Mus musculus: one gene and its partners. The protein of the gene in region 3 interacts with the protein of the main gene of each other region in a biochemical or structural test. Links are inferred from orthologs where the notes say so. Each region holds a gene or a part of one and is shown on either strand. Other genes may lie near its edges. The genes, in order: Cbx1, Taf3 and H3f4.

Region 1 (3,654 bases), about 38 Mb from region 3:
ATTCACTCAGGGCTTCCTTTGCTTCCCACACCATGTACCAGAAGTCTGAAGTACATGATACCCGAGGTCCTCCCAGCATCAACAGGATATACACCCCAAGCAAGAGATGGTCACAACTGCCTCAACGGTAAGTTACTTGAGATACTAAGTAAGTCAAAACAGCCATATCAAATCTTTAGTTTTGTTATTATTTTGTTTTGTTTTTTTTCGAGACAGGGTTTCTCTGTATATCCTGGCTGTCCTGGAACTCACTTTTGTAGACCAGGCTGGCCTCCAACTCAGAAATCTGCCTGCCTCTGCCTCCCAAGTACTGGGATTAAAGGCGGACGCCTCTACCGCCCGGCTTTTATTTTATTTTTAAAACAGAGTTTTTCTGTGTGTAGTCCTGGCTCTCCTGGAACTCACACTGTAGAGTGGGAGAGACTACCTCAAATATTTAATGATCAAAACACCAAAAACTGTCTAGTGACAGGAAATGAATCTGATAAGTCTCCAATAACCGTTACATGTTGTTATTTCTGCACCATGGATGAAAAGTAAGATCACTGTATAAGAGCAAGCCCCAAATCCTTTTTAGTTTTGTTATATTTTGCTGAGACAAGGTCTCCTGCAGTTCAGGTCTCTTATCCTTGATCCTCTTGCCTCCCTCTTCTTCCTAAATGCCAGGATTACAGCTATGTACAAGGTTGACTCCAAAATCCCTTTAAAATATTAGCTTATTTCAGATAGAAAGGACATGACTTCTGAGATCCAAAGGAAGAAAGTCCAGTATGGTAGTTCGTACTCATAATCTCAACAGTTAGACCTGTTATCTCAAAACTTAGAAGGCTAAGAAAGGAGAATTGCTACAAGTCTAAGGCAAACTTGGGATACAAAATTATAGGCCAGCCTAGGCTTCTATGCAAGACCTTATCTAAAATAATAAAAAATAAATAAAAAAAAAAAAAAGAAGGTGAAGACAGGAAAGAGGAGGTAGAAACAAACTGCTAGAATTCTCTGCCTCTGGCTAGTGAAGATTACTAGTTCTAGCTTTACCTCTTCTTTCTTCTTCTTTGGTTTGCTTTCCTCTCCTTTATCTTCAGAATCAGAATCAGCTTTGCGCTTGCCTCCCTCTGACTTATCTGTCTCATGAGCTGTTTTCTGTGACTGTAGAAACTCAGCAATAAGGTCAGGGCAATCCAGATTCTCTTCTGGCTCCCAAGTGTTGTCCTCACTGAAACCAGCAAGCACAGCAAGTTATACTTTCCATTCAGATCAACATCTTTATATTAAGGAAAGAGCTAGTCTTGGAAGAGAGATAAATGATAACCAATCGCTAGACTTTCCTAGTAGGGGAAGGTAGAGACCAAAGGCTTAGAAACTTGCATTCTTCAAGGAAAAACTATTTTGCAAAAGTGGACAATCCTATACAAATTGATCCTCAGAAACCATGTCTTAGGCTGGCAGGATGCCTAAATGGGAAAAGGAGCCATTTGCCATGCCTGAAGACCTGGCTTCCATCCCAGGATTTACATGGCACCCCTCCTCCAATATATTAAAACAAGACAAAAAACTCAGTCATATAATACTCTGCATGTAGGTCCTATCAGCTGTGGAGGTCAGTACTGAAACAAGGTTATGCCCATCACAGAACTGCTAGTAAGCATATATGATTTTTCATAGTGACCGAATTTACCTGTGTCAATGAAACTTACTCTGAGAAACCCTTCCACTTTAGAAGATATTCCACCTTGCCCTTGACAACTCGCCGATCAAGAACTTTTTCCACCACATATTCCTCTTCCTCTTCTTCTAGTACCTCCTCCACTTTCTTCTTGTTTTGCTTTTTCCCCATAGTACCCGCCAGCTTTCTGGTGTGAAGGGTGACACTGCTAAACAATTAAAGGAAATAAAAAGGGCATCAGGCACATTTCCTGGCTGGATAAGTAAGTATCTGGATGGTGAGGAGCCCAGGGAAATCACAGGTGACATATGCTGCATCCAATGCTCTGCTCAACTCCAATTCACAACCATGATGGTAATGTTTGCTAGGGGTAAGCCACAATTACTAATCTCATAGCGAATGATTGTCTATTCTGTTCTTTCCCTTTGGACAAGCTGTCCTCAGCTTTCTTAGTGATGGAATTATAGGTGTATACTACAATGTGTGGGAACAATTTCTGACCAGGCAGTGGTGATATATACATTTAATCCCAGCACTTGGGAGGAGAGACAGGTGGATTTTTGAGTTCGAGGCCAGCCTGGTCTACAAAAGTCAGTTCCAGTACAGCCGGAGATATACAGAGAAACCTGGGGGGTGGGGTTCTGAATATATCCATTTACAACTTTTATACTAATAATTCCTAATACCACTTGCCATAAACTATAGTACCTAAAATACTATGTTGAATCACAGTTATATATATTTTATTATCTAACTTTCTTTTTGGAGAGAGGGTCTCATAAAGATAGCCCAGGCTGACTGAACTTCTGATCTGGTTTCTACCTTTCAAGTACTGAGATTACAGATGTGTGCTACCATGTCCAACTTTAAAAAAAAAAAATCCTTTATTTTCCACTCCGCTATTCTCGAACACAGTCATAAATTCATGGCTCAAACTTAAAACATTCTTTTACTATGTGTATATTGAGTCAAGGACATCAGGAGATAATTTATGGAAGTCAGCACCATGTGGGTCATGGGCTTGGCTGAGCCTGATGGTCTCATGTACCCCAGGCTGACCAGGAACTCAAACTATAGCAGAGGATGACCATGAGCTTCAGATCCTCCTGTTTCTACCTCTGAGTGCTAGGATTATAGAATGTCACACCCAGTTTATGTAGGGCTAAATAACTCAACACATTTCGTGCAATATGCATGAAAGGCAAGCAAGAGATGGTCACAACTGCCTCAACAGTAAGTTACTTAAGATACTAAATAAGTCAAAACAGGGGCTGGAGAGATGGCTCAGTGGGTTAGAGCACCCATCTGTTCTTCCAAAGGTCCAAAGTTCAAATCCCAGCAACCACATATTGGCTTACAACCACCCGTAATGAGATCTGATGCCCTCTTCTGGTGTGTCTGAAGTCAGCTACAGTGTACTTACATATAATAAATAAATAAATAAACAAACAAATCTTTAAAAAAAGTCAAAACAGCCATATCAGATCTTTAGTTTTATTATTATTATTGTTGTTATTATTATTTTTTTTTTTGGTTTTTTTCGAGACAGGGTTTCTCTGTAATGTCCTGGCTGTCCTGGAACTCACTCTGTAGACCAGGCTGGCCTCAAACTCAGAAATCCACCTGCCCCTGTCTCCCGAGTGCTGGGATTAAAGGTGTGTGCAAAGGTCCCGAGTTCAATTCCCAGCAACCACATGGTGACTCACAACGACCTGTAATGAGATCTGACACCCTCTTCTGGAGTGTCTAAAGACAGCTACAGTGTACTCACATATAATAAATAAATAAATATTTTTTAAAATTCTTAAAAAAAAGAAAGAACACTGATTTCCTCACCAACTTTCCCAGGGCCAGTTATACAGAAGAGACCTGCATTCCACCTTCAGATCCCAGAGGTGGCAGGAGAGAACCAACTCCAGACAGACCCTCACCCATGTACCACCATGTATTTATACTTCTGTTGTGACAGGAAGTGTTGATTAACCCCAAAA
Region 2 (3,654 bases), on a different chromosome or scaffold from region 3:
CACATTACAAATAAATGTCACCTAACTGCCCCTCGATTTACATCCAAAACCCAGCTCTAAGCCCTGGCTGCGTTTACCTGCGGTTTGCACTAAGGCCTTGTTCAGACTGTGAAAATGACACCCAGCTTACCTTCTCATGTTTGTGCTTCTCCTTCTCCTTCTCTCTCTTCTCTCTCTCCCTTCTCTCCTTCTCCCTCTCCCTCTCTTTCTTCTCCTTTTCTTTCTCCTTCTCTTTCTTCTTCTTCTTCTCCTTTTTGTCCTTTTTCCTTTCTTTCTCCTTGGGCTTCTCTTTTTCCTCAAACAGTTTTTCTGGGAGCATTGGTGAGAAGGCCGGCAGCATGGCCGGGACCCTCACTGCTGAAGGGCTGAACAAAGGCAGTGCCATTTCTTTTGGGGGCAACACCAGCTGTGTTGGAGGGGCCTTTATCTTGTCTTCTCTGTTTTTTTCTTTAAGCCTTTCCCTTTCTCGCTTATCTTTCTCCCGCTTGCTTCTTTCTCGATCTTTCTTCTTGTCCTTATGTTTCTCTCGCTCTCTCCTCACGATCCCATCTTTCAATCGCACTTTCGCAGCATCAATGTCTTCAAATTCTTTGATTTTAAACTTATAGGGATCAGAATCTTCGTCTTTCATCAGCTCCCTCCACGGGTACTTAAGTTCCTTTCCAGCCTCCTTCTCCTTCTCCCTCTCTCTCATTTTATCTTTCTCTTTGCTTCTTTCTTTGTTTCTCTCTCTCTCCCTCTCTCTGTCTCGCTGCTTTTCTTTCTTTTTCAACTTAGTCTTCAGTTCTTTTTTCAACTTTTTCTTTACATCCACAGACGAAGGCAGCTTGGCTTTCTCCTCATACCCCTTGTGTAGAGGCTCAGGAGTGGGAGGAGAAATTGAGGGAGAAGAGATATATGGGAAGGTGGGAGGCATGTTGGAAGGGGCTCCCAGCTTTGCCTTCCGTACCACCTCATCAATAGAGGCATCCATTGTCCACGAGTTATCTGAACTTGAGGTTCCGCTGGAGAGAGGCAGAGGAGTGGCCAGGGACTTGGTGAAGTTATTGGAGGAAGTGGAGGCTTTTGGAGTGGCGCACTCTGAGCCTGAAATCCTCTTAGGACTTGTAAAAGTGTCTCCTTCCGATTCCGATCCGGAAGAAAACTCGAAAGGGTCTGGCTCCCGCTCTGCACAGGCACGTGCGATCACAGCATCGATGGAGTCATCGATGGTTTTGTCTGTCACCACAGGCTTTTTCGGCTGCATTTCAATGTTCAGTTTCACAACTTCTGGGGGAGTCTGTGTTGGTTTCATCACTGGGATGGTCTCTTTAACAGTTTTTTCAACCACCATGGCTGAAGGGGTCCTATTTGGTGTTTCAGGTCTGACAGGGGTTTGGGGAACATGAGCTACAATCTTGGGGCTCTTAGGACTCTTGGGGCTCTTGGAGCGTCCAGGTGACTTCTTTTCTTTTGGGATGGTTTTTGGTGACCGAATAGGACTTCCAAGCCTTGCTGGTGATAGGGCAGCCTTGGGTGACTTAGTTTTCTGACCTGGAGAGCTAGCTTTAGTCTTTGTTTTTGGTGTAAACGACTTTGTTTCTAACGGCTTTGCAATTGGTAGTTGTGACTTTGCAAATGGAGCCAGCATGGGAGGCTGTGGTGATGGAGGGGCCAGATCAGCCCTGTCCTGGACACGCACAGGAGAGAGCACTGGTGGGGTCTTCTGTGGGTTTATAGAGCTGAGGGGTTCTCGTGCTTCTAACAACACAACATCTAGGGAGTCCCCTTTAGTGCTCAGGAGTCGTGGGCGCTTCATGGAGGGCATTTCTTCCACTTCAGGACTGTCCAGTGGCCTCTTACCCAAGAAGTTCTCATCATTGATGACTTCCTCCTCCTCCATCTCATCATCTTCTTCCAAGGGCACCTGCATGGCTTCTGCTGAGGTGCCCCCATCAGTGGGCACCTGTTCCTCTTCCTCCTCTGCAAAGGGTGAAAAGGGCACTATTAGAATGGATACAACAAACAGAACCTAGTCTTCAAACATCACTTCTTGGAAGGGAGAAACAAAGTTCAGAACACAAAGCAACGAGCCCTCCCAGGTCTTCCCAGCCTAGGCTCTTCATCCTTTCACAAACGGCCACACAGAGGACCAGTGTGACCTCCTATTCTGTGCTCCTCTCGCTCCTTCCAACACTCACATGGCCTCAGAAACACAGCAGTGTTCATGACCGCTAATCTCGGAAATGAAAGGCACACTTTTAAAAGACGCTTATGTGTGTAGAAGCCAGAGGCTGACACCGATGTCTGTCTGTTGCTTGCTGAGATCGGCTCCCTCACTGAAACTGGATCTTACCCATCTAAGGAGACTGGGTTATGCCGGACATGGTGGCACATGCCTTTAATCCCAGCACTTGGGAGGCAGAGGCAGGCGGATTTCTGAGTTGGAGGCCAGCCTGGTCTACAAAGTGAGTTCCAGGACAGCCAGGGCTACACAGAAAAACCCTGCCTCGAAAAACCAAAAAAAAAAAAAAAAAAAAAAAAGAGAGAGACTGGGTTATGGTGGAGGACATACAGATCCAAATGCTTTTGTGGCAAGCATTTTACTTGACTAAGACATCTTCCTAGTCTTATGAAAAAGACTTGTGCAAAAAATTTTAATCTCTGTACACAATTCAGATTATAGGTACAACCCCCACCCCCACCCACCCCTGGAATGACAGCATAGTACAGTGTGAGGAACTTGGATCAGATATCTGAAACTATGTTTAGTTAGTGTCTGGCCCTACAGAATGATGGGCCTTAGGCAATCTGAACCTCCTTGAGCAAGTTTCCTGACCTTTCAAAAGGAGCTGATACACTTGCCTTGCCTATTTGACTTAGTCCTTATAAGACCAGCTTGTCTTTCTGTTCTGTACATATTCAGTAAGCATATACTGCATGATGAGAATGCCTGAAAGAACTATACAATCAACTCCTGACCTACACTAGTGCGTGTGTATGGCACACAGAAAGGTAACTGGTACCCCAGACAAATTGTCCAGGAGTTCAAAGCACAAGGGGACGAGTCGCTGTCCACGGGGGAGACTTCAGGAATAATGCAGTGATTAGAATATTGCCAGGAGTGCCAGAGTACAGGATGAAAGGCTCAGGTGGTAAAAAGGAGGACTTGAGACACAGGAATACTTTGTCTGGAATGTGAGGAGGAGAAAGGCAGAATAAGTGAAAGCTGAGTAAGGTTGTACCCACGTCACGAGGCTTCTGTACTCTGCTACTTTACACTCAAGTATGCCCAAGACTACCTCAACAAAACACATGGTAGACAGAGTGGGTGGTGCCAGACACCAAAAGGAGGGACAGATGAGGGGTATGGCTAACACAGTGTAGGCAAGAGTGAAGAGACTAGACTAGAAAATGGCAGCAGACAGGAATCAGGAGAGGTGGATGACATTCTTTAGACAGTGAGCAGACACTACACGCTCAGATATGACTTGGAGTCTAACACAAGCCCAAGGCCGTCGTTAACAGGAAGGCGAATGGAGAGTAATGATGATTTTTAGCTCTATCCCAGACACAAAGCTTGAGCAACACTTAGCCAGTGGTGTTGACTGAGCAGCTCAAAAATATGCTGAAGTTCCAAAAACCAGAGTGGGATATGAGAGGCTGTTGTTAATA
Region 3 (2,716 bases):
TTTGATAAGAGAGGTTCCTATTGCTTACAACTCAGGTTGAGTCAAGACAACAGCTAGACTTTCGTACCCTACAGGAATCGTTTAAGACAGGATTCTCTGGATGTGTCCCCTGGAAATATGTAAGTTAACACTTTCCTGACTCTTTTGCTGCCGCCGTTAACAGATGGGCAAAATTAACTTTAATCAAAGGCAGTTCACTGGGCTTTCCATCAGGAGAAAGGCCAACTTTTCAAGTACAGGAATAGCTAGCCTTTTTAATACCAGGCATTATGAGCCTTAAAACACAAAACATAAGTAACTTGGTTACTGAGCAGATGCGTTTGGATACTATCAACTATGCAAACATAGCACGTTTACTGCCGGTAGGAGCTACCTTCACTTGGTAAAACCAGTCAGCAACACAACCATCATCTTGTAGTACAAGGGCTCAGGCCACTATACCTATCAAGGGAAGGCAGGTTAGAATAGGACGGAGCTGCAAGTCAAATAGCTCAATGGGCAAGGATTAGCTGCTAAGCCCTCTAGACTGATCTGGGGAGACACTTCGATTGCCGGCCACCTTGTCTTCACCTCCTGAGGAGACAGGACACCTAAGTCTACGTTACAGACACTTTTTCTGACTCTGTGGGTGGCTCTGAAAAGAGCCGTTGGGTTCATGAGCGGTGCCTGTGGGAGCCTAAGCCCGTTCTCCGCGGATGCGCCGAGCCAACTGGATGTCTTTGGGCATGATGGTCACCCGCTTGGCGTGGATAGCGCACAGGTTCGTGTCTTCGAACAGCCCCACGAGGTACGACTCGCAGGCCTCCTGCAGCGCCATCACCGCGGAGCTCTGGAAGCGCAGGTCGGTCTTGAAGTCCTGGGCGATCTCACGCACCAAGCGCTGGAATGGCAACTTGCGAATCAGCAGCTCGGTGGACTTCTGGTAGCGCCGGATCTCGCGCAGCGCCACCGTGCCAGGGTGGTAGCGGTGCGGCTTCTTCACGCCCCCGGTGGCCGGGGCGCTCTTGCGGGCCACCTTCGTGGCTAGCTGCTTGCGCGGAGCCTTGCCTCCCGTCGACTTCCGTGCCGTCTGCTTGGTGCGTGCCATCTTCCTGAATCGTCCGCCTCCCTTGCTCCTCAGGTGCACAATGTGGGGGGCGAGTAGCACTGCTTTTATAGACCCAGCTACATTCCTATTGGCTGCCCACCAGGTGGCATTATGGGATGCTGCACTCTGATTGGTCCATTGGGGGATTGACTTTACACCCTGCCTCTTATATTCTCTCTGAGTGGTGTGGACTCTGGAACTGTTAGTTGCGGCTCGGTAGGAGGGCAGCGGGGTCTGTGGAAAAAACTCAAGTCGCTTTCTTGGAGCTTTTATTGTTGTTGTTAAATAAAAAAACAAAACAATCTTGCCTCGACTCCCAAGACACAAAGAACCTTCTAGAACCTTTCTGCATGCTTCCTTTATATAACAACGAGGCATAGTTTTCCTGAGTTCTGGAATACTAAAAAAACATCCACCTGGTCTGAGGACGCCCCTGGGGGCGAGGGCTGGAGGTAGCTCAGCAGTTAAGCTTAATTCCAGGACTCGGGAGGCAAAGGATGGTGGATATCTGTGTGTTTGAGGTTAGCCAGGGCTACATAGTATTAACACTATTTTTTAAAAATAGGGAGGGGTAGAGATGGAAAAAAATAAAGAGAAAAACGAAAAGAAATTGTGTCGTTTGCTGGAACAATGGAAAGAACTCAAGATCACAGTGTTAAGTAAGCTGGATCCAGGCAGGAAGAAAAGCATGGCATGGGTTCTCTAGCATGTGGAAGCTAGATTAAAAAAAAAAAAAAAAAAAAAGCATAAAAATGGGGTCGGGGTGGTATTTATAGAGAGAAAGGGACCAGAGGGAAGAGGAAAAAAAGGGGAGAGCTGGTGTGTGTGTGTGTGTGTGTGTGTGTGTGTGTGTGTGTGTGTGTGTGAAGTTATCAAAATGAAACCCATTACTAAGCACAGTTAACGTACGTTAATTAAAAAAAAAAAAAAACTAGAAGATATGACTCAAAGAACAGTAGTCCATGCTTATAACTTCAGTACTCGGTAGCTGAATCAGAAGGATAATAATTTTGAGGCTTAGAGTACACTGAAATGACGCTTTATCAAACAAAATAAAACATCTTTAGATCTGAAAGAAAATTAGGAAAAAAAAAAAAAAAAGGATTTCTGAAGCAAAGGCTTTCAAGGATAACATGGGCTGTATTCAAGGATTCCCCCAAAGGTCACAATCAGGGTATCAAACAATAGTAATAATGATTATTTAGATCACGTCAGAGGATGAGAAATGTCGTCCACATAATTTCAAAAAACGTGAGTCCAGAAAAGGATAGAAATCAAACTGTGGTGCATCTTTACGGATTTGGTTAAAAAATAGAACTCACTGACAATCATGGTGTTTTGCTTCCAAACGTGTATGTGTAGTTTAAACTGACGCCGGTGAACGCCAAAGCGGGGAATCCCGAGCCCGTGCCTGCGGTGTGCGGTCGCGGGTAGGCGCTACGCCAACCGGAGGACGTGGGTCGTCCATTGGTGGTGCCCAGGAACCGGGACGTCCCGGCCCGCGCCACTCTCTAGTGCCAGCTTATGGATACAGTGACAGGGAAAATAGCTTCACGTTCAGAAAGAACCGAAACTCTTGCCTCTGGGAATGTACGACCCTGTGAGACATCGGCGACACACACAGGGCTT

Evidence for each region.
Region 1: the proteins of H3f4 (region 3) and Cbx1 interact in a test that uses a peptide from one of them, tested with the Homo sapiens proteins (3 studies listed by BioGRID). The link is inferred for Mus musculus from reciprocal best matches to the Homo sapiens genes H3-4 and CBX1.
Region 2: the proteins of H3f4 (region 3) and Taf3 form a complex in vitro, tested with the Homo sapiens proteins (2 studies listed by BioGRID, with this or other methods). The link is inferred for Mus musculus from reciprocal best matches to the Homo sapiens genes H3-4 and TAF3.

The regions. Positions count from the first base shown.
Region 1 is NC_000077.6:96,798,988-96,802,641, reverse strand, and holds part of Cbx1 (chromobox protein homolog 1), read right to left. Parts: intron 1,872-3,654; 5' UTR 1,835-1,871; coding exon 1,695-1,834; intron 1,214-1,694; coding exon 1,036-1,213; intron 1-1,035. UniProt on the Homo sapiens protein: Component of heterochromatin. Recognizes and binds histone H3 tails methylated at 'Lys-9', leading to epigenetic repression. Interaction with lamin B receptor (LBR) can contribute to the association of the heterochromatin with the inner nuclear membrane.
Region 2 is NC_000068.7:9,950,984-9,954,637, forward strand, and holds part of Taf3 (transcription initiation factor TFIID subunit 3), read right to left. Parts: intron 1,963-3,654; coding exon 131-1,962; intron 1-130. UniProt on the Homo sapiens protein: The TFIID basal transcription factor complex plays a major role in the initiation of RNA polymerase II (Pol II)-dependent transcription.
Region 3 is NC_000077.6:58,960,183-58,962,898, reverse strand, and holds H3f4 (predicted gene 12260), read right to left. Parts: upstream 1,189-2,716; 5' UTR 1,088-1,188; coding exon 677-1,087; 3' UTR 626-676; downstream 1-625. UniProt on the Homo sapiens protein: Core component of nucleosome. Nucleosomes wrap and compact DNA into chromatin, limiting DNA accessibility to the cellular machineries which require DNA as a template.